Linked DNA regions of Bombyx mori. The protein of the gene in region 1 binds, or shares a complex with, the protein of each later gene. Links are inferred from orthologs where the notes say so. Each region holds a gene or a part of one and is shown on either strand. Other genes may lie near its edges. The genes, in order: eukaryotic translation initiation factor 3 subunit M, eukaryotic translation initiation factor 3 subunit F, eIF3c, COP9 signalosome complex subunit 4 and eIF3h.

Region 1 (6,299 bases):
TTGTTTATTGTTCTCACATAATTAAACTATACCTTATACTGTGCTAGTTTTAATTCGTTATAACCATTGTAATTAAAATGAAAGTTTTTATAATGAAAAGAGGGAATAATATATTAAATATACCTCTGCGCATAGTCGTTTGCCAGCTTAAAGTACTGTCTTGCCAAGTTGTAGTACCATACTGGATTTTACTCTTTTCTATTGTGTCAGCATCAATGTATCTGCTCAAGTCAAAGTTATGTCCAAAATTAGTGTTGCTGCCAAATGATGATTCAACTTGACTAAGGCCTTCATATCTCCAGGCTATTTTCATTTTTTCTGCATCAGTACTTGGTGCTTTTTCATCTTCTGGAGGTAAAGCACATGGTTGAGGGAGTTCTGATGTCTGGAATTGATATTTTAACAAAATTTTTACTAAGATTTACTAAATTATGTTTATTTATTTATATAATTATATATACACTGCAGTCTCTAAATTTTGAAAGCATAATTATAAAGAATAGCATCTCTGACATGATGTAGTAAAAAATTGTATTAAATATACTTTTTTACAACATTTTCAGATTATTCAAACAAAACCAATAGGATTATTAAGTTGTTAAGTTTTAATAAGCTACTTAATTTTGACGTGTTTTGTTATGACATAATTCAAGAAATTAATGAATAGAATGCCTAGAATATGCAAGAATCAAAATATGTGGACACTGATGGCTCTACAGTTGATGTGAATATTAATTTTGTACTTTAATTCTCATTTAATTAATTTTTTTTTTGTTTATTCTTAAATTGAATACTTTATATCTGGCTAGTATATCTGGCTGCTTCCAAACTTTTGGATGCTTGTATGTTGTATATGTATACTCCAGATGTGCATGATATTTATATGACCTTTAACATTTATCACTAATTTGGTTACATTTGTAAATACAAATCTGTGATTTTTTATATAAAAGACAGACAGCCCAGGCCCACAGTGTAAAGATGGGTAGTAGTACTTATGCTGTGATATTAATTTTGGTAATAATTAAGCCTCGTGTGCACAGTGAGATTTTCTACTCATCTAAGAAAAAGTAATAAACATTGACTAACTATTTTGTGTGGGTCTTCATCTAAAGATGTAACAAATAATTCATGGTCACAAGCTACACCCTCTGCTATGAAATATTTGAATAACACTTTGCTGTACACACCAAGGACATCTTCCTCTGAAAAGTAAATAAGGTAATTGAAGTCCTTTCATTGGAATTAATAACAATGCGTTGTGTGAATATAAAAATCATATTAATCTTACTTTCTTAAAATGCAATGTATTGAAAATTAAATGAAGTTATGATAAAAAACTAAATATTTTTAATTTGATTATTTATTAAATTTCATATCCATATTTATTTATTAAATTTGTTTTGGCTCTAAGATATTATGCAATTTTAAAAGAAATTCACGAACCTACAACAAAAATGCTGCCTGCAGGTATTCCTCCACCTAGAAAGTGTAAAATTATATTTATTTTATTGATTTTTGTAAATATATGACAATAAAAACTTTTATAAATTAAATTTGTTCCCTACAATTGTTTAAAATTGATTTGATCTTGTTTTGCCAATCTAATCCATTAAACATAATAGTAAAACTTACCAACTATATGGTCTAAGGATGGAATACCGGAAGATACGTATGGTAGGTTATTTTTCACTTTTGTGCCATTTATATGCGTACTTATATCTATAAATTTTCGAAAACTACGCATTTTTTATTAATATATCAAGCCGATTTCTGTAAAATATTGTTTATCGATTAAAATTCACTACCTACGATGTAGGTATTTTTCTTTTTGAAGTTTTTGTGATTTGGTAACAAGACCTTTAAGCCAGATGTAGGTTTACAAATTTACGAGATATAGTTGCCACGATAACGGGTCTTTACCAATAAGTTACTGTTTTAAAATACCATTTGAAACGTAGTTTATGCATTTCTGACAGTAAATTCCTAATTCAACTGAATTTTTTATTAAAAGTCACAATTACTGTTTAGTGGTTTAGTGTCGGTATATTTCTTAAATTGTGTAGTTTTGTTCTTATCAAATGCCATAAGTATTACAGTGGATGTGTACTGTGAGGAACAAGGCACAATATTGGAGAAGCTCGGGAATCATATAATTTCCAAATTGAAGTCACACTAACACCTTATAATGCTCACGTTGCAATTCATTTCTCTTTATATCATTTTTCATAAAAACAATATACAAAAGATTAGGCTATATGTTATGATACCTTTGCCCTCTCAGTTGGAAAAACTAGAAATACTACTCTATTAACTGTCATATCGTTTGCCACATTTCGTTGCTAAGAAATCGTTCTTGCATTCACTTTAATGCTTATAAATAATAAATAAAAGAATACAGTTCAAAAAAGGAATTAAAATGCAAGGGCCAGCTGTGTTTATGGACATATCCCTGGAAGATCAGGTCAGTTTATGTCAACATAACCTGTCGTTCAAAACAAATTATTTGCTGCAATGTGTCTACATGCAAATTTTAATAAAATTTCTTTCTTGATTGAAGGCACTCGAACTGAGAAGATATTTTAAGAGCCTTGGCGCCGAGATTTCAGAAGAAAAATCACCTAAGGGCATTGAGGATGATCTGCATAAGATCGTTGGGGTTTGTGATGCTTGTTTCAAAGAGCCGAGTGAATCGGACATCGAAGCCATTCTGAACAGTATTGTCTCTATTATGGTTTCTGTAAGTTGAACGCAAAAGCTATAGTTATTTTTAATAAGAAACATCTAGGTGTACTTTAGCATTAATTAGAGTACTAAGCGGTAGGCAGCGACTTGGCTCTGCCCCTGGCATTGCTGAAGTCCATGGGCGACGGTAACCACCATCAGGTGGGCCGTGTGCTCGTCAGCCTACAAGGGCAATAAAAATAAATGTTTGATAGTTGACTCGCATACTTACATATATATTGCAACTAATATTCACAGATACCATTAGAAAGAGGAGAAAACCTTATCTTAGCATTTAGTCAAAGGCTCACTAAGGCTCCTGGCCCTAAACTTGGAATGGTAGCTTTGCAATCGTAAGTATATAGAGGTTTTTTTAACTATGCAAGTAACCTTTATTATTCAACCAACTACATCACTTATCAGATCTTAGTTACAAAGATTTAAGTGAAATCACAGGTTTAAATCCATCATGACATAGGGAATAAGGCTTTTTATTTCTTGCCCATAAATGTTTAAAAATGAATGTTGCAATTTTTATTTTTTTATAATTTATTTAAATGTCAAATAAACAATATTTTAAAATCATTAAGGACAGAAAAAAATGTGTCAAATAAATTTACTTATTTTTGGGATTAAATGGATCCAATGTACATGTCTTCACTACATAGTATAAAACAAAGTCTCTTTCTCTGTCCCTATATCCCTATGTATGCTTAAATCTTTAAAACTACGCAATAAAATTTGATGCAGTTTTTTTAATAGATAGAGGCATTGAAGAGGAAGGTTTATATGTATAATAACATCCATTAAATAGTGGAGAAATCAATAATAAATTACAGTTTCCGAAGCGAAGCGAGGGCGTGTCGCTAGTAAAATATAATAAAAATAGATCCTAGAATTCCAAATTGGTATTTTATAGAATTGAAGCAGAATATGTATTAATGATTGTTAGGGAAAAATGCATAAGGCTTACAGAAATGCTTGATGCTTGTGTGTGAATGGAAGTATGATTAAGTAATAGTATATTCATCAAAAGTTTTAATTGTGGCACAAAAAGTGGAACTGCTGACAGGAAAGTAATGAAAAAAAATTTATACCAAATAATCACCCAGCAGTATTTAGTTTAGGACAATCACTTTCATCCACATGAAAGATAGTAATTTTGCAAAATGTTTGTTTCATAGGTTATGGAGACTTTACAACAACTTAGAACCCAACTCACCTCTAAGATACCATGTATATTATCATGTCATAGAACTGGCTGCACGAGTTGGATTTGTCAGGGAAGTCTTCACTGGGGTTGAGCAGCTTAGGAAAGAGTTTGCTAACTGCCCACCCTCTAATGAACAAATGCAGAAATTGTATCGGCTTTTACATCAAGTGTTAAAAGACCAAAACAGGTATGTTCTCACTACATTAAATTTATTAAACAATGACCATATTATTTCTATGAGTGATGTACCAAAGTCTGATTGCTTGTTAAGGAAACATTGTTATTAATATTTCTCAAAATAGCAAACATATTTCACCAAAAGAGATTCTATGTTTAGAATTATGTTTTGCTATTTGAAAATTATTTTAGTACTATTCATTTTGTGTTATTTTTTTTTTTTTTATTGCTTGGATTGCTGGACGAGTTCACAGCCCACCTGGTGTTAAGTGGTTACTGGAGCCCATAGACCTCCACAACGTAAATGCGCCACCCATCTTGAGATATAAGTTCTAAGGTCTCAAGTAAGTTGCAATGGCTGCCCCACCCTTCAAACCGAAACGCATTACTGCTTCACGGCAGAAATAGGCAGGGTGGTGGTACCCACCCGCGCGGACTCACAAGAGGTCCTACCACCAGTAATTACGCAAATTATAATTTTTGCGGGTTTGAATTTTATTACACGATGTTATTCCTTCACCGTGGAAATCAACCGTGAACACTTGTTGAGTACGTATTTCATTAGAAAAATTCGAACACCGGGTGCATCAACACGAATGCACCGGACCTCTTATCTCTTAGGCCACAACAACTTAATTATAAAAGTAATTTAAGTATACGATGTGCTGTTGTCATTGGACCTGCCTGATTTTAAAAACTGCTATCTACTAATAAGAGGATTATGTATGTAATATATTAAAAAGATGACAGCCTTGCACAGGAATGTCTTTCTTACAAGGGCACTAAATAAATAGTAAGTAAGTAGATTTTTGTAATCGCTTTGAATTAGTGTACAATACAAACTCGAATGTTCCGTTAAAAAATATAAATGTATTTTATTTACAGTGAACTAGCTGCTAAAGTAATGATTGAGCTACTGGGCACATATACAGATGAAAATGCTTCATATGCAAGAGAAGATGCAATTAAATGTATAGCGACAGCATTGGCAGATCCCAACACATTTCTGCTGGATCCCTTGTTAACATTAAAACCTGTGCGTTTCCTTGAAGGAGAGCTCATTCACGATTTACTTACAATTTTTGTATCTGAAAAGTTATCAAGCTACCAGACATTCTATAATAATCATAAAGAGTTTGTACATTCTCAAGGTAATTATTAATTTTATTTGCTTGTGGTAATCATATGCATTCATTTATTTATTAGTATAGGTGAGCAAATAGTGGGCAATCTCAAAACTTCATTTGGGATTTCTTATGTAACATACATGAAAGCATAATAAAGATTACAAAATTATGGTGTTCATATCCTAAACTCCCTAGATTTTAAGTAATTTAGTAGTGTTCAGAAGCCAGAATTCCAATAGAATATGCTTGAGCATCTACTAGTATTAAAATGAAATTATTACCATACACTGTAAAATCCTCTTTCTATCTCTATGTTCTTATCAAGCCACTTTGTTGTCAAGTGGCACAAACTGAAAAGAAATATTCATTTGTAGTTCAAAGTAGACCAATATCTATACCTTGACTCCTTTACTTACTCTCTACTAATAATGTAATAGATGATATTACTGTATATTCCCTATTTGTCATTTGGTAAAACTAGGGTTAACTATTTGCAACACATCTTGTTAGTCCAGTTGAACTGCCAAACTGGATTTGCCAAAAAAAAAATAACTATTATTTTAAATATTTTTTTATAAATTACTAGATTGTTGTTAGCTTTAGATTAAAGCTAATATATTTTGTAACCAGAAAGCTGTAAGCTATCACAACTGTTACAAATGTTTTTTGTCGGTACACACCAACTTTTATAATTTCAAAAAGATGGTTACCACTTTTTCACTGTTTTGTTTTGTGCATTTCGAGTCTGCAACAAGTGTACAAGTATTAGAAGGTTTTTATGATTTCCAGCAGATGTCAATATATGCAAGGCTATTATTTACTTTGTATGAGTATAAACTCCGCTAACCATTATACGTAACACTGTAGATACCAAAGTCAAAAAGGAGAAATACTTCCTGCCAGATTAATATATATTGATGATGTGATAATATAGATTAACTTATGTGGAACTAGTTTTTCTAGTCATAAGTATTGTTAATAGCAGTTTATTTTCAGGCTTAAACCATGAACAGAATATTAAGAAAATGAGAATATTGTCATTTATGCAAATGGCAGAA
Region 2 (6,453 bases), on another chromosome or scaffold:
TTGTCGCACAGCGTTCCTCCCGATCCACTAACGGTGCTTTGAGGTACCTCAAGCACCGGTCATCGTTCTCGTCGAATCCGTCGCTTGCGACGAAGGGCTCGACGAGTAAATTAACCCTAAGACACAGCTCGCCGGATCTTCTCAGTGGGTCGCGTTTCCGATCCGGTGGTAGATTCTGCGAATCACGGCTATTGCTAGGGTTCGCGTTAGCAACGACGTCAGGTTTGAGCCGCGTGAGCTCACCTACTAGTTATGGTTACGCTGAAATAGCCTCTCAAGACTATCGGCTTAGGTAGGAAAAAAAAAATCGCACAAAACATTCCGGTCCGAGCAGTCGAACGGAGCGGAGATCTCTGTTGTTATCGCTGTACACTTCAAGTGTAATAAATGTAATTCATTGGAAAAGGGACTCTTAATAATTATTGTCACTATGGAAGGCAATAATAATAATGAATGGGAAATATTTGCATATGCTATGCCCAGGAAAGTGCACAACATCCAGCTTTAAGGTGATTCATTATTGGCCAACCACGCATTCAAATATGTGTAGTTCGACTCAAAATGTACACAGCATTATGCTAAGAGTTACTGAAAACGTAGTTTTTGTTGGTAAGAAATCTATGGTGACATTTTATATCTTGATACTATTTGAAAGTTCACTGTTATGATGCAGTCTGCATGCATCATTGTGAGTTTAATGATATCTTATGCTTAAAAGCAAATGGTAAATCAAACCCAGCACTATATAAAGGTAATGTTCAAGAACTGGCTGACATTAGTACTGTTGATGAGGGACAGCAGAATTGACAAAACTATATTTCAGCACAAGTTTTGGATGAATAATCATAGGCACTTGTATAGTCCCTGTGTAAGTAATTGCCATTAGCAACACAAGTAGATCAGCTAACAAATTGTCTCATAGTCTCGCCTGGATGTCAGTGTTCATGAAAGATGTCCAGAAACCGTCCCATCCTTTATACTTACTCATATATTATGTTCTAGTTAAGCCCACAGCACGGTAGAGTGGTTGAGTGTGAACTTACCATGAGCAGATCTTTGACGCTGGAGGCGAAGGCATCTGAGAAGGTGTCCTTGGCAAGGTCAGGTGCGGAATGTGCGAGCTGCAATAGGGCACGGCCCGCCTCCGCGTCGGCCGGTGCTCCGGCGGCCGCTCCGTCCGCGTACTGCAGCGCCTGCTCCAGCAGCGACTCCAGCGAGCTCGCCGCCGACATCACCTGCGCCAGGTCCGAGCCCGCGGCCACGCCGCTCGACCCGCGACCTCCACCAGACACAGTCTTCTGGCACACTTGTAGACCTACAATCTAATCAATCAAAGCAAACGTTTACTCTATGCCGCAAAACATTAAAACTCTAGATAGGTTTTTTACTGGTGGTAGGACCTCTTTTGAGTCCGCACGGGTAGGTACCACTGCCCCGCCTATTTCTGCCGTGAAGCAGTAATGCGTTTTAATATGCTCAGGCCTTTCCTGCTAATAAGGAATTACCAGATTAATAAGGGATTTTAATATACAGTCAAACTTGGGTAAGTGAGAACTGGATAAGTGAGAAAACTCTATAAATGAGAGTAATAGCCAGGACCCGTCATTTTTAGCTTCTTAGACCTCTATTAGCGAGAGACAGAAACCTCTGTAAGCGAGAGTAGTTTTTTCCCTTATGGACTTCCGTAAGTGAGACTGCTACTTGTCTATACCTCTATAAGCGACAGTCGAGCTTTATTTATTTATAATAATATTATTTAGGAGGAACAAATGACAAAACAAATTACAAATTTAACATCTGCTATTTTATGACCCATTCTTAAATTTCATGGAACTTTTTAACATTGTTTTTGTATTGTTTTCTCGTCAATATAGAACCTATTCTATTTCGTGGAACTAAATAACGTTGTTAATTTATCGCATTCTTTTCGAATGGACACGTGTCCCGGTGTACCGTCCTGTTTGTCAGACTTACTCAGTTTATCGTTAATCAATCGCGAGGGAAAAATCTGTTCTGCATCATGTCAAAACGGAAAATTAAAGTACTGTCATTAAGTGATAAACTTAAAATAGTGAATGCGTTTGAATCTGGAAAATCGCGAAATGACATTCAGAGGGTTCATTAGGGAGAAACTCGGGTTAGTGAGAAACCTCTATAAGCGAGAATGAGATTGTGCTCCCTTTAACTCTCGCTTATCCAGGTTTGACTGTAATTCATACTAAACATTATTAAATTATTAACATTAAATATTTATTATTAATTTATGATTATTAAAAAAAAAAAATTAATAAAAATTAAGTATAACTTCTTACGCGCGCACATAAGTACACGCACCCTTTTTTTATTTAACAATATAACAATATGTGATTCCACACAATGCAGTTTTGGAGTTCATGGATATTGAAATATTAACAAATTTGAGTCTAAAACAGCTCATGATTTTGAAGCCTTTTGAACACAAATTTAAACCTGTAACAGTCAGAGTTTAATGGCCTTTCAGCAGTTTTCACCATATTTTTGCTTAATAAAGCAAATATTGACAATGAATACAGTACAAAATCTTCAATAATTACCTCAGGTTCATAGCATGTGAGAGTGACATCTACAGGAGTGAACATGCAACCTTGCTTTCCATTTGGCACTCCCAATGGTACACAAACATATGCACGTAAACCCATTCGACCTCCAGCCAGCGAAGTGTCCAGAGTAACATGGACAGGCTCACGGCATTCACGGGAATAATACTCGTGTATAACAGAGGAGTGGTTGGTTACTTCATTGCCAGTCGCCCACCAACCTAAAAATAATACAAATGAGTTTGAATTTAAATGTATAAGGTATGCTAAGGGAAGTAAAAGATCCAATTTTATTAATTGGCAATTGTCAAGAGTGTTAACTATAAATGTGGAAGGCTATAGTGGAAGAGGTAGACCTAAGAAGAAATGGATGGATTGCATGAAGGACAATATGTGTAAGAGTGGAATGAGCGAAGAAATGGTATTATGATAGAGGAGTATGAACGGAGAAAATATGTTGCGCCGACTCCAGGTGACTCGGAGAAGGGCAGGAAAATGATGATGATGTGGCAATTAGTTGATAGTAAGATGCAACATGCTGGCCCGCAGATTTACTGGTTGCGATAGCTATGTCAAACTTACAATTTTTAAAGCTTATTGCCAGAATTTTTACGCCAGTAGTCTGTGGACCACATACACGCGGAGAGCTTACAATGCCCTACGTGTCCAATATAATAATGCGTTTAGGATGATGTTGTCACTGCCGCGCTTTTGTAGTGCATCCACAATGTTTGCGACATCTCACACAGATGACTTCTTTGCAATAATGCGGAAGAGAAGTGCATCGTTATTGCGTCGAGTTCGTGACAGTGACAACAGTCTTTTGAGAATCATATCGAGCAAGATCGAGGGACTGCTGATCAATAGCCTTTGCAGTAGGCACTTGGAAGGAGAAAAATAATAATATATAATGGTATAAAATGTATAATATAATGATAGTTATGTGTTAGATTTTTAAGTTACTAACATAGATTATAAGTAATTATTACTAACAAAATGTTATGGTTTTAAAAAAAAATAATAACTGAAATAAAGCATTAATAATAATAATAATAATAATAATAATTAGTGTAAATTGTGTGTGTATGCGTCTGTGAGTATTGTTACATATGTGAATTTGAGTATAATGCAGGTATAGCTCACCAACAATACTTTCAGAGGAATTGACTCTTCTGTTCAGCTCGTAAACATCCATCGCGTAATTAAGTTCCGCTTCGACTTGATCGGCATGTTCTTTGTGTGGCACGCAGAAGCAGTTGGTTACTTCCACCACTCCTTTGTCGCTCGTGCCTGCAGCAACAGCACAACATAACCTTACAACGCCTTTACACATTTGTATTGCACCTGGCTTATGTGACCAAGGAATTTATCAAATTAACTATAACGTTGATGTGGAAAAGCCAAAGTGAAATGTGTAATGATAATTGACGTACATATTTAGCATTTAGGGATTTTTCTTTTAAATAACAACTCATAAAATTTGGTACACGACATGACGTTGACAACTAATGTCCTTTGAATTTATAGTTATTGCATGATTTATAAATCAATACGAACCCAATAAGGTGCCGATAACTCTGTGAGAATCTGCATTTCGACGTTCGTATGCGTCCACAATTTGAAATAAAACAACAGGATGGACCTTCACACTAATATTGAGAGCCATTTTTAATTCGACCAAAACTACAAACCCAGAAACACAGAGTACAAGAGAATATTGTAGGTATTATCTCTGCTAATTTTAATTTTTTTAGGGATTTTATGAACTGGTAATTAAGACCTTTAAGTCATGTCTTATTTTTATGAAAAATGATAATATGGAGTGAAATGAAATAAAATGAAGATGATTAATTTGAGACATTAGGGTCAATTCCCACTGAAAGAGCAGCGGCGCGCAGCGGCCGTAAGAGCAAGTGATTGAGCGCGGCGCCGCAAGGGGCAGTGTGGCGCCGCGCGGGGCAGTGCGGCGCCGCGAGAGGCAGCGCGGCATCCCGAGGCGCCGCAATGAACCTCCGCGTAGTAGCTTTGAAAACTAGTGTGCGATCTACTTCACTCAAGGAAAGTTGTGTGGCAATAAATATGGTGGATTTGGATTTATGTATCATAGCACTGGCTGTAGAAGAAGAACAAGAAGTAACAAACAAAACGGAAAGAAAAAGGAAAAGAAAATTTTGGGTACATTTTTTTCTCACGGAGCGTAGCACGTTCTAACTTGATACCCTCTAATAAAATGACGCGAAATGCGTAAGCGGCAGGGCGGGCGGGTATGAAATGGTCGCTCGCGCGCAGCCGCGAGTCTGTTAGCTGCACCGCGGTCGGCCGCACGTCAGCTAGCTGCGCCGCGATCAGCCGCGCGGCGCCTCTTTTGACTAGTCGGTAGAAGGCTCGTGCAGCCTCGCGACGTCACGCTACCCCTCCTTTGCCTTCAAATGACTATGAACTTTTTAATCACGTAGATAAGATTCAAAATAGTTTGTAATATTTTGCCTAAAAAAGACGCTGCCGGCCGCTGCTCTTTCAGTGGGAATTGACCCTAATCAACTAGAATGAAATTAAATGAAATGAGATGATATGGGATCTTAGTAAAATGGTGGTCATTTACTGAGATTTGTGAAAGAAAAGGCGTTGTTAGCTGACAGTTATTTAATGAAAGGAATTCACAAGTTGAGCTGTCGTTATATTGGACACAGTTTTCGTTGTTGATGACATTTCCACAGCCAGGCTGCAGTGACGGCGCGGCCCTTGATTCGCGGCGCGGCGCCGTCGTCGCACACCACGTAATCTACGCGGCTGTCCTCATCCAGCTGAGACTTCTGAAAAATGTACATTTGTTTAAAATTAGGAAAATATGTATATTTATCCAATCATAGAGGAAATGTGACAATCATGAAATTTTTTAACTATTTTGAATTAATATAAATTTATATAAATATAAATATAAGAATATAAATTTATTGCTCTTGTAGGCAGACGAGTATACGGCCCATCTGATGGTGAGTGGTTCCCGTCATCCATGGACTTCAGCAATGCCAGGAGCAGAGCCAAGCCGCTGCCTATCGTTAAGTACTCTCTACAAGCCTCGTTTGAAGAAGGGCATGTCATATTGTTGTGCCTGCAGCACGAGCGACCTGCAGCACGCGCCCCCCGTAGGCCCGCAGGTAGCGCCAGCAGCGCGCCCGCAGTTGTGTGTCCCCGGCCTCCACCGCGAACGTTACTCCCTCAAAGAACGCCGGCAGCGACTTGCTGTCGTCTATCTGGAAACAATACTTAATATTTAAAAAAAAAGTAATTTTTTTTTTTTTTTTATTGCTTAGATGTGTGGACGAGCTCTATTACTAACTAATCCGTTAGTAATAGAGTGTACGTGCCGCGTGCTCGGCGCCGCTGTCGGCCCCAGCGTCGGTCTCGTCCGAGTCCGACTCGACCGCGAGCGACGCCTTGACTCGTTCGTCGCACACGAACTGCACGTCGGGCTCGCCGCTGCCCCCCCTCGACCCTGTCGCGCCGGCGGGGGGGCTCGGCGCCCGGCCGCGGTCCCGCACTTCCTCGTCGGTGTCCGCTGACTCGTCAGTTTCTGGACGACAAGTAATTGGTCAAAATTACGTTTTAATTACATTTTTGCCTAATTTGTAGGCAGCAGCTTGGCTCTGCCCCTGGCATTGCTGAAGTCCACGGGCGACGGTAACCACTCACCATCAGGTGGGCCGTATGCTGGTCTGCCTACAAAGGAAATAAAAAATAATAATAATAATTAATTTTGTATTGTGGTTTAAAAATATTGGTAGCGGCGTCCGTCTGTTCTTATTAATGAATGAGCAATCGAACTGTCGGCGTGGTGCGTGAACCTGCAGCGTGTGGTGGTGCGGTGCGCTGGTGC
Region 3 (6,235 bases), on another chromosome or scaffold:
CACGTTTCTTTAGTTTAAGTTTTATTTTCTCTTCATCATCCTCTTTCTTGGTAACTTTCTTGATGAATTGTTCACGAATATTGGAGGTACCACGTTCCTCATCATCAGAGCTAAAACTGGAGTCAGAAGAACTAGAAGCCCAATCCATAGAATCTGATGATTCATCATCTTCTGGTGGTGGACGAAGAAGGGGCTCGGGTTTAGGCTTCTCTTTAATTGGTTTTTCTTCATCTTCAGACTCATCTGATGATGATGAATCTATGAACAAAGTTTGTTATTAATTGTTTTGCATTGAATATGAAGTAGTGTTGAAGAATGTAATTTAAGTTTTCGTTTATTTTTAATTTGCTTACCTTTACGTTCATTGTCATCGGGTAGATCAGGATCTTCACGGAACTTGGATATTTCAGCTTCAAAATCTTTAGTGTACTTCCTAAGTTTCTGTCTTAGTGAGGTAAGAGCTTTACTGTTTCCTTTTGATAGAGCTTTTCGGGCTTCACGTTCATTCCATGCTCCTACTACCCAATCGTCCAATTCTACAAGAGCTCTTATGAAGAATCTAGGAGCAACTCCATTCTCCTCCTTTTGAACAACCGGTGCGGCTCGAGTGTATGCCTTTTGGAGCTCTTCGAAAGAAGCTAATGCTGAACTAAAATCCTTGATTTTCCGATGATTGCGTATAGAGTGTATAATTCCTTCTAATTCCTCATAACGCTTCTCTTTCATTGAGCGCACAACTCGCTTTGTTTCTTCCTCATCGTCACTAAACTGTTGCCAATATAAAGAATTATAATTAATTGTACTTTTCTTGTTCAATATTCTTCTACAGTTGACTGAATTATTAAATAAAATTTGAAAAAATTATTATTCTAAGCTTATAATTCTAAAGATGTAAAATAGACATGTATTAATTTGTTTGAAATTGCCACCAACTAAATCAACGATCTTGAAAAATTTTTGTACCACAGACCAAACAAATTTTATGTAATAAGGCGAACCTATTCATGCTTAGTCGATTTTGAAAGTACTTCAGAACGAGAACTCTAGTAAAATAATGTAATAGCCCTTAATATAGGAAGTCCGCTGAGCGGACGCGGCACTGTTGCCGCCACTGGCCGCGTCTGTTTGAAGTCCTTTGAGCGGACGGGTCCCTGTTGATAGATAAATGTGATTTGACATTTCACGTATCTGTGGAGTCCGCTCAGAGGACACCGCACTGGGGAGAGGTTAATGTATCACAATAGAACATTAACTAGAGTTACAACCATGCTCGGTAAGAGCTGTTGTTAGTAAGCTAGTGTTAATAAGAAATAACTATCCAGTTGATTTTATTAACGCAATATTATAATGGAAGAAATTTTCAATACTCGAATAATCATCATTTGAAGACCAAAACTAAGACATGTAAAACATGCATGCCGTGGTAGCGCAGGCTCTTCTTACACAAGTATACGCAACCTTCCTGTTGTTCACTTATCCTGAGTGCATACCTCAAAATAGAGGCAATTTACTGAAATGACTTGGGACTATAATAATATTGTGAATTGTAATTATAATCTTGTAGAATTTTCCCACAATGGCGCACTTTTAAGATTTTTAATCTGTTAACAATATACAATATTAAAAGATGACAACAAAAAAAAAATTAGCAAAAAAACACAGCAACTCTTATCTCCCAATCAATTTATAACTTTTAGTCTGATCATTTTCTTTTTAAAATTTGAAGCATATGTTTAATGTTTATTACAATTAACATTAGATATGTGTCGTTCGCCAACGAACGAACCAAACGACCCGGGTTTCAAAATCCGCGCGAACATTTCAAAAAATATGAGTCGTTCACTAGATTGACCCGTTTAACAAAACCTACGAATCAGAAGAAAAGAACCATGCAACAGTCATTCGGGTCATTTCGGGTTGCCGGGTCTCGCCCCGCGCCCGTCTCGGTTAGACGTTCGCTGTCGCATAATGACGCATAACGTATTTGAATTTTTTTTATCTCACCTAAACAATCGAACTATAACAGTTCCTTTAAACTGTTATTCAATACTAAACTTCATTCAGCCAGTGACCTGATAATATTAATCACATCATAAATTGGTGTGATTAACGGAAATCCAAACGTTTGACTGAACGGGTCGAACGAACCGGATCATTTTGTCAACAGGTCAGTATTGATCTGATTCTCTAAAATTGATTGAACAACACATATCTAATTCACATCACTGTACTATTCCGGAATCAAAGCATCTTGTTATACAAGTCAAGACAAATTAATAACAAATTGATATGCCAATCACTAGATGCACTTATTAAACTCATAATTGAAATAAATAGAAGTTTTAGTGGCTTACTATTGTTACTATTAAATTATTTATCCATGTATATTATTATATTACTCCAAATTATCTTTCAAGCAGTATGCCAGTTGACCAACAAGTCTACTAAGAGTTTAGGAACGAAAGAGTAGCACGAGCAACCCTTTGTCCTGCCAAGATGTAACTTGTGGGATTTTTTCAGATATTTTAAATTTAACATGGGTTGAATCCTATGTCATACCTTATTTATTATGAATTAAAAATGTTTTAATAATATTATACCATATTTTACAAAGATGACTGAATACAAGAAATAAAATTTATAATTAAAATAATTTCACAATCATTACAAAATATGGCTGTTCCCTTTGCCCATTCAATTTTTTGGACAAGTCGTTAGAAAGCTGTAAGCTGGCACAATAGCAGATTGCGAGCAGAGCAGAAATACATTATTGATCGCTACCCCCTCTATTAGCTACTGATAGTGGACATTTAGGAAAGAATTTAAAGGATCACATTTTTCAAAACTTCTAAAAGAGTTACAAAATTTTGCTAATTGCATTGCTGATTACCGAAAAAAAGTTTCATATATCTTGTCATCCTACATGAGATTAATGTTAGTCTCCCTTGGTAACTTAAAAAACTATTTATCTTTTTTTAAACTATAAATTGAAAATTTTGTTTCCTTGATTCCCAATTATTTATTTTAAATTTACCGTGTAAACTGGCGCGGGGGCGCGTACTACTGGCTCGTCCTCGCTGCTGCTCTCTGACTCCGAGTCCGTCCCAGTTGCAAAGAAACGACTCATATTTACAAGAGTTAGTTAATGCTTCTGTAAAAGAAAACTTCGTTAATTCCAAATGAACATTATTTGACTCCAATGGTAATTTATTTTCTTAAATATCTTAAATAAACATCAAAATTAGTAATAAATAGTTGACTTGTCCTCGCGTTGAGGTTATAAATTAGAACTGTTTAACATTTTTACAATACTTACTGTCTTATATTAAAAACAGAGTAGGTATTCAGTTTTCAAGCAATCCTCTGATGATAGACTTAATAAATTTGTAGCGAATAGAAAGAAAGCTCTCAAATACAGACCTTGCCCACGACTCACTTCATACGTCAAACGCATCAAAGTTGATCAAAGAGCTAAACTTTGTTTCAATTGTTCAATTGGAAAGGCAAAGGGAACGTGGCATATTGACTTTTTTTGTTCAATTAGACAGACACTTAAAAAAATCGTTTTATTTGGCTACATCCCTTTGCTCGTCGTATCAGATAAATTAAACCTAAAATAAACATTTATGGTACATACCTACCATAATAATTGTGTATTATCTGTGCTTACCACCCCCATAATTTCAAGTGCATTCTTTTTGAACATCACCAATAAAGTAACGAGAACACACCTACGTAGTAAATTACATTTTAAGCAATGTCTGGGCATAAATATTTCACAAATCCGAACAACCTATTCGAAAATGACGACGTCGATGATAACGAATTTGTAGATCGCTTCCGGTCAAGAATACCTCAAACACAGCAAGCAAATAAGCCTTATGGAGGTCATATTGCAGAACTGGAACGTCAACGCCAAGCTATGATCCAAACACAAAGAGAAATCGAACAACGGACAATAGATTCATCAACGAGAAGTATCGGATTGCTTCGTGATTCTGAACAAATTGGTATTGCAACGGCCGAAGAGCTTTCCCGACAACGTGAACAGCTACAGAACACAGACAGGCGACTTGATGAGATTAACACCAATTTAAACTATAGTCAAAAACATTTAAATGGTATAAAGTCTGTATTTTATGGTCTGAAGAATTATATTTCCGGAAAAAGTGATCAAACACCATCTAAAAGTCCAGCGACCTCGAATGTACGTAATGCTGGTACAAGTAGTAGCAGGCTTGATGAAACCCTAGATAATATGTCTAGGAACGTTGAAGATCGCTTTGAGAGTCATCCCTCAGCACGCCTACATGGTTTGTCTCAAGAAAGCGCTAAGAGTCCTGAAACAGAAAACGAGAGAGTAAATAATATACTTGATTCGAACTTGGATGAAATGGTGCATGCTATATCCCGGCTCAAACATCTAGGAGTTGCACTTGGTGAAGAGATAGAACAGCAAAACAACCTCGTGGATACTATTCAAGACAAAGTTGAGATTGCAGATATCAAGATTGGTAAACAAAATAAACAAATGAATAAACTACTTGGGAAATAGCAATAATTATAGCAAATTAAAGATTTATTTTAAACAACAACTAAAAGGGTCTATTAATCTATTAAATGTATCTGTTTATAAAGATTTAGCATGTTTTTAATGTGAGTGGTTTGCAAAATTCAGTAGTGTAATCATTTTGTGTGATAAGGAATACTAATGTATGGCAAAGTTTGATAAGATTATTTTTTATTTGAATCACATGACCAGCAGCAATTTGATAAACAACATGGTGTAAAAAGGGGATTTCATAGTAAAGGAAAAATCCATATATAATAAACCTACTAGTAATGTAAATTGTCTGAAAGGCTTCTTACTGCATACTAATGCTCTATACATTCGTCACCACTGCTGAGCTGACTGGCATTTTTATAAAGCTTCATAGTATGTAATAATGGTTCTTGTGTGATACTGTCCATTGTTAGCTGATCATGTACACTTAGTTACATCTAATAAAATGGTGTATGATTCATATTATTTAGGTAAACCTTTTCTGTATCATATTCGATCATCATAACCTTCATTCATTCTTCATAACTTTATTGTGCACAGTATATAGTAAAAAAAATTATCTTGTAATCTTTAAATAAATGTGTTATCTTTTTGGCTAGCAACTTATCATGACAAATTTCTTCTATTTGTTTCTAATTGTTGTTCATGCAATTAGAGACAGTTACAGTATAATAGCTAGGTTTCACTATTTTAAGATAAAGTTTTAAGTACACTTAAATATATATAAATAAGACTTGTGTGCAAATAAAACAATATTAGGGCAAAACAACCAATATAAGGTGAGTACTTACTTTAAGTACCTATGTTCTATTAACTAATCCAAATTTTAAATGGGTGAAAGTTCCAGACACCTCATCATGAATTATGTTCTTGCATCATAAAGTAAGGTACATACATACTAATATTGTTATCAATGAGTTAATGTTTGCCATTAACAATAATTTCATTTATATCCAAGAACCTAGCGATAAGTGTAAACAGTCATTATTATTATATATACTTATTTTATATTGTTTCCATTAATAAATATATTTCAAATCACAAATGCTTTATTTTCTTTAGTTTTTTAAATTCTAGATAGTAATTTACATATTTGCATCAAATACTTGTTCGAAGAAAGTATTATCAACAACAGTTTCCAATATCATGTCATTGGCATCAACATTATGAGTTTTTATATGTTTTTGAAGAACTCTTTTATTTGACAGTTTCTTCCCGCATATATTGCAATGGAGCTCCACAGTGGCATGAGATTCCATATGCATTTTTAAGCCTGAGGCTGTTGCAAAACCTTTGAAACAAGTTGTGCATTTGTGCTGTCTCTCTGTCGTGTGAGTGTGTGCAAAATGCACCAACAATGAATGTTTGGTGGCAAAGCTTCTTTCACAGTCTTTATTGGAACATTTAAATGGTTTTGGTCTCTGTTGGCCAGTATGAACTATGCTATGTTCCCGTAAATAAATAGCTCTGGTGTAAGCTTTAGGGCAACTAGGGCAAGCAAACTGTTTTACTCCAGTATGACTTTTCATGTGCATGACTAGAGTTGATTTTGCTGTAAATCGTTTTCCACATGTAACACATACAAACAGTTTACTGTTGCTCGAATGAGCGACTCGAAAGTGCTCTTTCAATGACTGCCTTGATTTATAGGTTTTGTTGCAAAAACCACAT
Region 4 (4,557 bases), on another chromosome or scaffold:
AAAAAAATATTTGCCGCGAAGTATACATGGCCTTTAATTTTGAATAGTATGATAGGCAAAGATAATTCCATTGGACTTCAGCTTAGACATCATGATGTGTCCCCCGATTCAAGTGTGGTATAGGCGTAGTCTGCAACATAAATGCTAACAAAATTCAGTTCTTATACTTACTTTCAAAATGTACAATGGAGCTGATCTGGTCGATGTACCCGTTCATGCGACCCTCGCTGATCATGTGGCTCGCTATTCGTTCCGCTTTAGCCGGCGGCGTTTCTAGTAGCGCACCTAATTCTTCGAATGTTATATTGTTGTAGAGCTTGCTCGCTGACAGCAGATTGTGTTCGAAAACCGCTCGGTCGAGGATCGTAGACCCGTCGGGTGTGGTCGCCTGTTACATTTAAATTAATCATCAGTGAATCCTCTATCATTTCAATCAACAACATAATTATTACAAATAGATCAAGACGCGGTCATAACCTGGTAGGCACATACTTAGACTGCCTAGTTAAGAACGTACAAAGTATAAAAACACTGCACAGTAATTAATAAAAAGTGGCTTTTGATCTCAATTTTTCATGGTTGATGACAAAATTCGTATTTTATAATACCCGTTTACATTATTTGGTAATTATTGAACCGTGAAAATTACATGAACAGGGTAGAATTTAGTTTCCTATTTATTATTCCAAACTAATATGGAGATAACACGCTTAAAATTTCGGTATCAAAAACCTGCAAACTTAGACAGCAAAAAAATTATAATCAATCAAATTAACATTTTTTTTTAAGGTTTTCAGTCATGCTTCTATTCATCTATTATAACTTATATATTTATGCCTTTTTTAATGTCAATTTCCCAAATTTGCGGACCGTCAAAACTCGGCCCCGTGTCCGAACAAAAAAAAAATGTAATATGTCCTAACTTAACCTTTTGATGTGTCTGCATGAGGGATTCGAACTCCTGCAATTCTGACCGTCGAATTATACGATCTAAATACATTTTCTCTAGAATAGAATACGCCGGCAGCTGTTGGCACCGCTCATCTTTGAACAATGTTGCTAGCATTCTGGATCTCTGTTGTCCTGTAACATTTTAGATAAAAGACATTACTTTTTAATACGCTTTTATTAGCTTCAGACGTATGTAGGTATGTTAGTATGTAACGGAATCTTTGAACATGATATTGACCCCCTTGAAAACGTCGGATTAACTCGAAATTTGGTATACTTATTAATTAAGGACCGATGACAATTCGATATTTAAAAAAAAATTGAATTAAATTGTAATTCAACTAAAAAATGAAAAATAAATAATAGTTTAAAAAAACTAAACAAATACGCTTTTATAGAAAAACATTTTACACGCTTTTTTTTACAATAAAATTATTGATATTGATATATAATTATTGATATATAAATTATTGATTATTATTAATAAAACATTTTTTCTTACACTATGTTTAATTCAAATTTCTTAAAATGTATTTTCTATTTTTTTGTTGGATTTTCTATAAAAGCGTGTTTTGTTAGTTTTTTTTAATTATTTAAATATTAAATTTAAAATAAATTTAAATTACTTTGACGAATATTAACTACTCCTACAGCTGCTCCTATTTCTCACTAGTATAGGAAAAGCCTGCGCATAGAAAATCCCACCACTCTACCTTGATCTACCGCGATATAATCACGCGTTCCAGTTAGGGAGAATTTTTGATACATTCCTGCTACGCTGTGAGAGTGTCCTAATGTTATGTGGGCGCTTATTAATGAAAGATTAATGTATTCGAAAACTGTAAAGTATTTTTGAGGTGTTGATTAAATTATCATTCGGTAAATAAAGATAACTCTAACAAAGCACCATAAAATTGTTGACACTGGTATGACTACTTAACAGTAGAAATGGATATTAAAAAGACTAGCATGTCTAATGAAATGAAAAAAAATGCACCATTTTTTATGTAGTGACTTAGACTTAGACTGTAGTGACTTAAATGTTCTGATCTGAAGCTGTGGTCTTATTACAAAAATATTGTGTAATATAATCAATGTGTCAATGTCTTATCGATTTTCTATTTTTGCAGCCCAACAATCTTAGCATTACATTGAAATCAATTACCAGCAGATGCCAACACGGTGCATATAAGGGCATTCCTGAGGCACGTCATCCGCTCGTCCTCGTGGATAATGTTACGATATGACAATTCATTGTACCTTTGAGCCGCTTCGATGAATTTCCTAAAACAAACCAATTTTTATTTCTTTTTGTTTATGTTGCAATGTCGAGAATTGCGAATGTCTCACTTTTTTTTTTCCTACCTAATCTGATAGCCTTGAGAGGCTATTTCAACGTAACCTTAACTAGTAGGTGAGCTGACGGGGCTCAAACCTGACGACGTTGCTAACACGAACCCTAGCAAGAGCAGTGCTTAGCAGAATCTACCACGGTGTCGGAAACGCGACCCACTGAGAAGATCCGGCGAGAAACTCAGTGGGCTGTGTCTGAGGGTTAATTTACTCGTCGAGCCCTTCGTCGCAAGCGACGGGTTCGACGCGTTCCCGCTTGAATGCCTTGAGACACGAAATTAAAGTCTCAGTTGTTAATAACGTTTCACCCTTTCAGCTGGACATAGTTGCATCGCTTCGATGATAGATTTTGCGAATGTAGTGTTCGCTCAGTGACCAGTACCTAAACTACTCCCACAAAATTTTACAATTTCTCTTTTTAGGTTAACCCTCGAAGCTAAGGTGAGCAATGTGGATCTTCACAATGATCTGGGTGTCGAACGCATTGGTAAGTACACCGCGCGCCTTATCCTTTAGATCACGACTTTTTTTATTGCATATTTGAATGGACGAGCTCACAGCCCACCTGGTGTTAAGTGGTTACCGTAGTCCATTAACATCTACAACATAAATGCGCCACCCACCTTGATATATAAGTTCTAAGGTCTGAACTATAGTTACAACGGCTGCCCCGACCTTCAAACCGAAACGCATTACTACTTCACGGCAGAAATAGGCAGGGTGGTGGTACCTACTCGCGCGGACTCACAAGAGGTCCTACCATCAGTAAAAACTTCTTGCAATACCTTCATATTTATGAATTTCTGTATTTAAAATTTATCAGATTGACTATTAAGAACTGTATTGGCATCATTTGAAACACAATAAAAACACGTCACATCTAAAGATTTAGAAGTAATGGCCCTTTTTTTTAAACCTAAATTGTTGCTGACAAAACTATTCAGCGGTATAAAATATATACCTTCTATAATCTAAAACTCTTGCATAGCAAACTTTGTAATATATCTGCAGTTGCTCGTTGGTTGTTTCGGCCTGTAGCAATGAGGCTCTGTTGACGAATGCCTCAGCTTGCACCGGATCGTCCACTTCAAGGTACAGTCTGGCTATCTTTAGGTACGTTTCCAGTTTGTAATCAACTGAATATTGTCTAAAAATGAAATTTTAAATATAATCAAGAGGTCATGTTCTTTTTTTATTTCATGGAAACATTTTCAACAAAAAAAGATATCCACTGTAATTTGTGTTACAAAATCTATAAACGTTTTATGTATAAGCTAGTGCAATTAAATTTTTCATATTGGAGTTGTTTAAAAGGTATAATATAAAACTCAACATAGCAGTGGTATGTACTACATACCCAGATAAACTGCTCCCCTTCATGGATTGGGGTTTAAAATACCAACTACTTCCTACTCCTGTTTCTACAGAACAGGGCTGTTCAGATTGCTATCAGAACTGATTTCATTCATGGGATGTAGAAATACTATGTTCACCCACAGTGCAGAGATACATACAATCTAATTTTGGAATGAGCTTCCCTGCAGTTTTTTCTGAGTGCTGTGACATGTTCTATTTCACAACAATATAAGGGGAGTCAGTGCTAGGGAGAGGGTTGGATATGCTCATTACATTGCTGACTTCCCTGAATAACTATGACCACTCACCATCAGGTCTGTCTGTAAAGGCAATAAAAATAATAATATTACTGTTTTGAAAGAAAATGAAAAGCATACTTCTGTCCAGTTTCCAATGGTATTCCAACTAAAACATTAGCAGCTTCCTTCCAGTTTTGATTTCGCTCGTAGATATCTGCTAAGTGCTGTCTGATACTGGCCACCTATGATAATGAAAGACTACAAATAAATTTTATATAACGTAACCTTTGTTAACTATAATTATACATTTTTACAGATGATTTATATTATTGTCAGGGTTAACATTTGTGTTCATAATTTAGGATTGGTCAAGATTTTTATAAAATACTAGCTGTCCCGGCAAACATTGTTTTGCCATATATAAGATTTCTAGGGAATTTCTAGTGTAGAAAAAAAAACTAATTTATTGTAAGTGTGTAAGGATGTGGTAAATGAGTGAAAGAGGCATGTAGCGCTGTGAACGTTGAGGGAATATATAATAAAAATAACAAAACCTCATTAAACCACATAATACCTCATTATAACAAAAAAAGTCCAAATAAAAAAAATATGTTAGTGGTGGACAACCCTAATCACTTAGGGGTATGAAAAATAGATA
Region 5 (6,321 bases), on another chromosome or scaffold:
AATGGAGGCACTGTATACAGTTCTTCCTTCAAAGAACGGTATCTTCTTAATACTATTAGAATCTAGTGATATTTGGGGCATAGCTCCAGAGCCCCATAACTGCCCATCACTACTAATAAATAGTTGACCAAAATCATTAGCTACAACAGTCCGAAATTTGACTTTGTAACTTGAGCTCCTGAACCCGTGGGGGCAGCATTTAGAGTCTTCCTTTACTACAATTTCTTCTTTATTTTTAAAGCTACAATTTGTTTTAAATAGGCGCCCGTGCGTGTCTATGATATATAGTATGCCATTATGATATGATATGTCCAGTGCTGAAATACCGCTCACCCTTTTAAAATTCAAAGAATCGTCTGCATTTTCGCAATAATAGATGCCATGGTCGTTTCCTAACACAATAAAATTTGTATCTAATGAGCACAATTTAACAACTTTATCAGGTACTTGTTGAGACGTCGGCACGTTTAGGGGAGTCACTCCTTTCCAAAACTTATGCTGACTCATTATTTAATCAAGTTTTCTTAAATTGATAAGTAGGTGTTTGTTTAACACTAATTTAATTAACAAAACTCAATTTAATGAACGAAACAGATCACAGAGCCAAAGTATTTTTAGAATCAAAAATAAGTTTATGATGCCAAAACATTTTGAATTGCCACAACATCATAGATATTAATGACTTCAAGCAAAATTTCCACAACATTTATGGATAAAGTAATTAAAAACGATTTTGATTACACTATGTACATACATACATATATTTATGTATTGAGATATGTAATTGTATCCTTTTTTTTTTGATTTTATGGCCTGGTAACGATACCTTTAAGCAAAATTGCATTCACGAATAAAATTAGGTATGTGTACTGCTGTGAATACAGATAATACATTTAATAGGTATTAAAACTGTAATTGTTATTATTGTATTTTCTGTCTGTATAATCTTTGTGGGTAACGTTATAGGGCAGATCTTCCGCGGAGCTGCTATAATTGCCCGGTAGCTAGGCTCTAAACGATCTCTTTTTTTTTCCTACCTAAGCTGATGGTCTAGCCTCTAGTGAGACCATATCAGCGTAACCTTAACTAGTAGGTGAGCTCAAGGGGCTCAAACCTAACGACGTTGCTAACATGAATCCTAGCAAGAGCCGTGCTTCGCAGAATCTACCACCGGATCGGAAATGCGACCCACTGAGAAGATTCGGTGAGAAACTCAGTGGGCTGTGTCTGTAGGGTAAAATTTACTCATCGAGCCAAGCAAAACAATAGAAAATTAATTAGTAAAAGATTCGTTTTAAGCTTTGAAATAATCAATTCTGCACAACAGGAACAAATTTTTTCACCACATAGTTCTAAGCTTTGTTTTTTTTATTGCCCTTGTAGGTAGACGAGCACACGGCCCATGTGATGGTGAGTGGTTACTGTCGTCCATGGATAGAGCCAGGGGCAGAGCCAGGCCGCTGCCAACCAGTTTATACTCTCCACAAGCTTCGTTTGAAGAAGGCGTTGTTATAGTTGTCGGGAAACACCGTGGAGGGGAGCTTATTCCAAAGCCGGACGGTACGTGGCAAAAAGATCTCTGGAAACGCCCTGTGGATGACCGCAGTAGTTCCAGGAATTATGGATGAACTCTATTCCGGTGGCGGGCGGTGTGATGGTAAAAACGAGATGATGGTTTCATGTCTAACAATTCCTTAGAGCACTCCCCATGGAACATACGGTGCAAAATAACAGAGTGAACCCAAGTCCCTCCGCAGACACAGAGGTTCCAAACGATCCGTGAGAATGGGATTATCGACAATCCGAACGGCCCTCCTCTGTATGGAGTCAAATGGAAGAAGCTGGTATTTGGGAGCCCCCGAACGGCTCTCTTCTGTATAGAGTCAAATGGAAGTAGCTGGTTTTTGGGAGCCCGGCCCAGAGGTCGGAGTAGTACTCCACACGAGGCCGGACCTGTGCTTTGTAGAGCGAGAGTCTTAAGCAAAAGTCGTAAGTTAACAAAATGTTCCATAAGGTACAACCTAATAAATAAACGATTAATTACAAATTGACGAACGGTAAAATATAAATACAGCGATAACGCGAATTGATACCACTTCCTTATTAAAGCAAATAATGAGACCTCACGTCTATAAGTGTAATTCGAGCCATATCACTTAACTTTATAGTATTTTTTTTAATTCAAAATCTGTAAGAATGTAATACAATTTATACATGGATAATAGAAAAAGATTGAACAACATTTGAGATTTATCATATAAATAAAAAATCTTTTAAACCTTAATTTTTATCATTACTAAAAATGGATTTGTTAAAGAATATTTACAAGATCATAATGCATTAATTGTTTTACATTTATACCGTAAACATTAGGATTAACTATCATTGTGATCCATAGTACAATACGCAAAATTACGGCACTTATTTATTGCATTGTAACTGGGATATAAAAACTACTATATTAATCTCATTAGCGTGTGTATGTCTTCGTATACCTACTCTTTTTAAAACCCAGAAATTTGTAAAAACTGGTATATAGTTCCAACAGTGTTTAAGTTTAATCGAGATGTGATATTCGTGGTAGTATTTTTAAAGGCTAATCTGTCGTATAGTGTCGATTGCAAATAAGGTATCGATTACAATTATCGATAGCTATTGATAGTCGATTTGGAGAGCTACACTAAAATGTAATCAAATCAAACGTTCTCTTGTGAATTAAAAATGGCGAGCCGTGCTGGTTCAGCTAGACGCGCTCCTGAAAATGAAGCGACGATCCAATATGTTCAGTGCGATGGACTGGTAAGTAAATTTAAAATTAAAGTTTAGATAGGTTCTCTGAGACGGACGTCAACTGTAGGTTTTAAATTAAAAACTTTGTGAAAGTTCGTGCCTCGACACGTCATGTATTTTTACCATTTAATTAATATATAGAAGTAAACATCGTCAATTAAGGTGGATTATTATGATCTGGAACATGATTCGTGTTGTATGATTTTAGGAGATCTTAGATTACAATAAAATAGGTTGCCGTTGCAATAATAAAGATAATTGTATAGGTTATGTTTTCAATTTTGTGCTCTCGTTTCTTTTTAAATAAATCGGGCAAACGTTGACAATTCACCAAACCTTGAATAATTCGTTATGTTAATTTCTATAGGATTCTATGAACCAAAAAACTTTCGATATAAAAAGAAAATAAAAGACTACAAAGGTTTTTTATTTCTGTTTACAACATATAAACGTTGTTGAGTCATTGACTGTTTTGGGACATTTGCCCTGAGCCCGGGGGTCATTGAAATAGGAGGATGATCTCACCTAACTGTACATCTAAAACATTAAATTTTCTCTGAACTATATAATTAGTGTTTTAAACTATGCTTCATTACAAAGTTTAGATCTTGATAGTATATGTGAAGTCATTTTTTGTTATATACTATACTACTATTTACTGATAATTTTATAGTTTCCTAACTGTAAATGATTGAGATTAGTTTTTGTTCTGATTGATTGCAAATAGCAAGCTGATTGATTTCCTACACATACACAGAAAGTTAATATAGCAATAATTTATTAGGGATGGGTAGGTATTAATTTGTTTTGTTAAACTTGTTACACATTAAAGTGTATTTTAACTTGCCTTGAATAATATCCTCTCTGAAGTTATTTAGTTGAAACATGCTTAAAGTAGTGGTAAAACAGTTTAATATGTGGTAATCAAACAAATCCTCATCGAACTAACTCAAGCATTTGAAATGACAGATCTGCTCCCACTTTTATAATATATTTGTGCTTTTTATTTTAGGCAGTGATGAAAATAGTGAAACACTGTCATGAAGAATCATGCAGCAACATGGAGGTGGCTCAGGGAGCTCTCCTTGGTTTGGTCGTTGAGAACCGTCTGGAGATTACCAACTGCTTCCCATTTCCAAAGCATGACGACACCATGGATGAGGAGGAATACCAGTTGGACATGATGAGGAGGCTTCGAAGAGTCAATGTTGATCATTTTCATGTTGGATGGTAATTAATATTGAAAATTGTTTTATAGTATGTCAAAATATGTCATACAATATTTTAAATTAGAACAGCAGAACTTTCTTTTTTCTTATACCTCATATCTTTCTTCAGGTACCAGAGTGCAGATGTAGGCAATTTTCTAAGCCTTTCGTTATTAGAGTCACAATATCACTATCAGACCTCTATTGAGGAGAGTGTTGTTGTGATTTACGATACAAAGAAATCAGCCAGAGGATTCTTGACTTTGAAGGCCTATCGTTTGACACCTCAGGTAATTAAGCTCTCATAACTATACACATTTTAAAGTGCTAATGTTGTTAATTGAGCTTTATGACAGAACTAATTTCTGAAGTTGAGCTATTTTATTTATTTATATTACGTATATTTAGTGAAGTTATCACTTGTTAATGCTAAGTGAATGGCAGAATCTATATTTTTGAGATATTTTAAATGTTTTTTATGGGGATACTATCTAAGTGGTCCATGCAACCTGCAGATATCACAACATGAGTGCATTAAGCGGTAGGCAGCGGCTTGGCTCTGCCCTTGGCATTGCTGAAGTCCATGGGCGATGGTAACCACTCACCATCAGGTGGGCCGTATGCTCGTCTGCCTACAAAGGCAATAAAAATAATAAAAAAAAATATATTTGATGTCTCACCATTAAACCAGAATGAATGTATGATTCCCAGCAAATATAAAGAGGATGGTAATGTATGTTCTTATACACATGTCTTAAGATGTAAGACTGTTCTCAATCCTTAAACACATTATTATTACGTGCAGAAATAATAGTAACTTGGACTCACAATATGCTCATCAACAAGCAAGTAAATTATTGTTGTTTTTTTTTTATATTTATATTGTGAAAACATTATGTATAGTTGGGTGTTCATGTATGAATAAGAATATATGTAAAATTGAGGTTAATACTTACTTTACAGGCTATTGCTATGTACAAGGAAGGCGATTACACTCCGGAAGCACTACGTAACCTGAAGATTGGCTATGAAAATCTATTCATTGAAGTGCCAATTGTTATCCGGAACTCTCCATTAACTAACATAATGATCTCTGAGCTCACCGAGATGATACCTGAAGAGGAAGGATCCAAGTTTTTGGATCTGGGTACTGCATCTGTTCTCGAAGGTTTGTTTAATTTTACTATGGTATACAATTATCAGAAAAGCTTTCAAGATTTAGGCTACATCTGACTACATCAATTATGGGTTGATTCCTTTGCTGCAATCTGAAGCTACTACTTTTCCCAGTAGTTGTTTCCTAACTGCTATATTAAACTTGTAATTTTTACTATGTGGAGGAATGGCAATAGACAATTTTAAGCAGGTGAGCTTTCACTATCATCTTGCTTATTAATTCTACTAAGAAAGTGTCCTCTTAAAGGGTACAGATAAACATCCATCCAATGTCATTAAAACTTCGATTCCCTTATGTTAATATGAGGTGGCTCTTAAGAGCCTGAAGATTATGTTTCTTCCTTTACTTAAATGTTCATATCTATATGTTGGTCATCATAAACAATCTACAGAGAGGTTTTTCTTTATTATTTCATGTTATAATATTTAGTAGAAAACATTACATAGCATTTTTCTCTTCATTTTGTGTAAAACTATTGATTTTGTTTAATGAATTTTAATGTTGATCTGATTTTACAATTTAAGGGCATCTAAGGGCCCACTTTATTTAAAAATATTGTATTTATCATCATAACAATAAAATTGATTTAATTACAGGACAACTTCGCAGTCTCATGGAACGTGTTGATGAACTGAATCAAGAAGCGATCAAGTTCAATAGGTACCAACAGCTGGTGGTCAGGCAGCAACAAGACAAGCATCGTTGGATGGTGAAGAGGGCACAGGAAAATGCTGCTAGGGCTGCTAAAGATGAGACCCCGTTGCCAGAAGAAGACGTGAACAAACTCTTTAAACCTCATCCAGTCCCGCCAAGGTTGAATCCTATGATCGTAGCCGGACAAATAGACACATACAGCCAACATATAAGCCAGTTCTGTAGTCAGAGTCTAGCGAAATTGTATTTGACTCAGGCTCTTCAGAACGCGAAAGAAGCGAAACAAAACAACTAGTTTTTTTGTATGGTATTAAAAATGATTTGGTCATATTGTTTTGTTGTTTAATTTCACAATTAATTTATATGTTACTATACTTTAAAACTATAAACTAAAAAAAATCATAACAAATCTTCAATCTTCACATTCTCCTGCCAGACATGTGGTTGTTGTACAGTTGCAACTAGATTAACAAGCTGATGAGTGGTTTAAAA

What was found.
Region 2: eukaryotic translation initiation factor 3 subunit M (region 1) and eukaryotic translation initiation factor 3 subunit F share a complex: the UniProt entries of both Caenorhabditis elegans proteins name them as parts of the eukaryotic translation initiation factor 3 (eIF-3) complex. The link is inferred for Bombyx mori from reciprocal best matches to the Caenorhabditis elegans genes cif-1 and eif-3.F.
Region 3: eukaryotic translation initiation factor 3 subunit M (region 1) and eIF3c share a complex: the UniProt entries of both Caenorhabditis elegans proteins name them as parts of the eukaryotic translation initiation factor 3 (eIF-3) complex. The link is inferred for Bombyx mori from reciprocal best matches to the Caenorhabditis elegans genes cif-1 and eif-3.C.
Region 4: eukaryotic translation initiation factor 3 subunit M (region 1) and COP9 signalosome complex subunit 4 share a complex: the UniProt entries of both Caenorhabditis elegans proteins name them as parts of the CSN complex. The link is inferred for Bombyx mori from reciprocal best matches to the Caenorhabditis elegans genes cif-1 and csn-4.
Region 5: eukaryotic translation initiation factor 3 subunit M (region 1) and eIF3h share a complex: the UniProt entries of both Caenorhabditis elegans proteins name them as parts of the eukaryotic translation initiation factor 3 (eIF-3) complex. The link is inferred for Bombyx mori from reciprocal best matches to the Caenorhabditis elegans genes cif-1 and eif-3.H.

Annotation. Positions count from the first base shown.
Region 1 is NC_085119.1:6,793,567-6,799,865, forward strand, and holds the start of eukaryotic translation initiation factor 3 subunit M, read left to right. Parts: upstream 1-2,279; 5' UTR 2,280-2,419; coding exon 2,420-2,464; intron 2,465-2,560; coding exon 2,561-2,740; intron 2,741-2,982; coding exon 2,983-3,077; intron 3,078-3,908; coding exon 3,909-4,124; intron 4,125-4,999; coding exon 5,000-5,265; intron 5,266-6,237; coding exon 6,238-6,299. UniProt on the Caenorhabditis elegans protein: Component of the eukaryotic translation initiation factor 3 (eIF-3) complex, which is involved in protein synthesis of a specialized repertoire of mRNAs and, together with other initiation factors, stimulates binding of mRNA and methionyl-tRNAi to the 40S ribosome.
Region 2 is NC_085124.1:489,368-495,820, forward strand, and holds the start of eukaryotic translation initiation factor 3 subunit F, read right to left. Parts: upstream 4,298-6,453; 5' UTR 4,243-4,297; coding exon 4,134-4,242; intron 3,867-4,133; coding exon 3,720-3,866; intron 2,798-3,719; coding exon 2,574-2,797; intron 1,323-2,573; coding exon 1,044-1,322; intron 1-1,043. Other genes in the region: DNA repair protein XRCC1, read right to left, coding at 5,252-5,389, 5,705-5,830, 5,945-6,150, 6,422-6,453. UniProt on the Caenorhabditis elegans protein: Component of the eukaryotic translation initiation factor 3 (eIF-3) complex, which is involved in protein synthesis of a specialized repertoire of mRNAs and, together with other initiation factors, stimulates binding of mRNA and methionyl-tRNAi to the 40S ribosome.
Region 3 is NC_085122.1:5,757,385-5,763,619, reverse strand, and holds the start of eIF3c (eukaryotic translation initiation factor 3 subunit C), read right to left. Parts: upstream 3,556-6,235; 5' UTR 3,421-3,555; exon of another isoform or gene 3,317-3,420; intron 3,152-3,316; 5' UTR 3,128-3,151; coding exon 3,035-3,127; intron 769-3,034; coding exon 354-768; intron 259-353; coding exon 1-258. Other genes in the region: soluble NSF attachment protein 29, read left to right, coding at 3,758-4,555; gastrula zinc finger protein XlCGF57.1, read right to left, coding at 5,650-6,235. UniProt on the Caenorhabditis elegans protein: Component of the eukaryotic translation initiation factor 3 (eIF-3) complex, which is involved in protein synthesis of a specialized repertoire of mRNAs and, together with other initiation factors, stimulates binding of mRNA and methionyl-tRNAi to the 40S ribosome.
Region 4 is NC_085109.1:10,719,720-10,724,276, reverse strand, and holds part of COP9 signalosome complex subunit 4, read right to left. Parts: intron 4,142-4,557; coding exon 4,038-4,141; intron 3,452-4,037; coding exon 3,266-3,451; intron 2,236-3,265; coding exon 2,117-2,235; intron 1,084-2,116; coding exon 929-1,083; intron 389-928; coding exon 172-388; intron 1-171. UniProt on the Caenorhabditis elegans protein: Component of the COP9 signalosome complex (CSN), a complex involved in various cellular and developmental processes.
Region 5 is NC_085110.1:3,929,022-3,935,342, forward strand, and holds eIF3h (eukaryotic translation initiation factor 3 subunit H), read left to right. Parts: upstream 1-2,705; 5' UTR 2,706-2,721; coding exon 2,722-2,799; intron 2,800-3,802; coding exon 3,803-4,020; intron 4,021-4,128; coding exon 4,129-4,288; intron 4,289-4,961; coding exon 4,962-5,166; intron 5,167-5,771; coding exon 5,772-6,124; 3' UTR 6,125-6,159; downstream 6,160-6,321. Other genes in the region: alsin, read right to left, coding at 1-507. UniProt on the Caenorhabditis elegans protein: Component of the eukaryotic translation initiation factor 3 (eIF-3) complex, which is involved in protein synthesis of a specialized repertoire of mRNAs and, together with other initiation factors, stimulates binding of mRNA and methionyl-tRNAi to the 40S ribosome.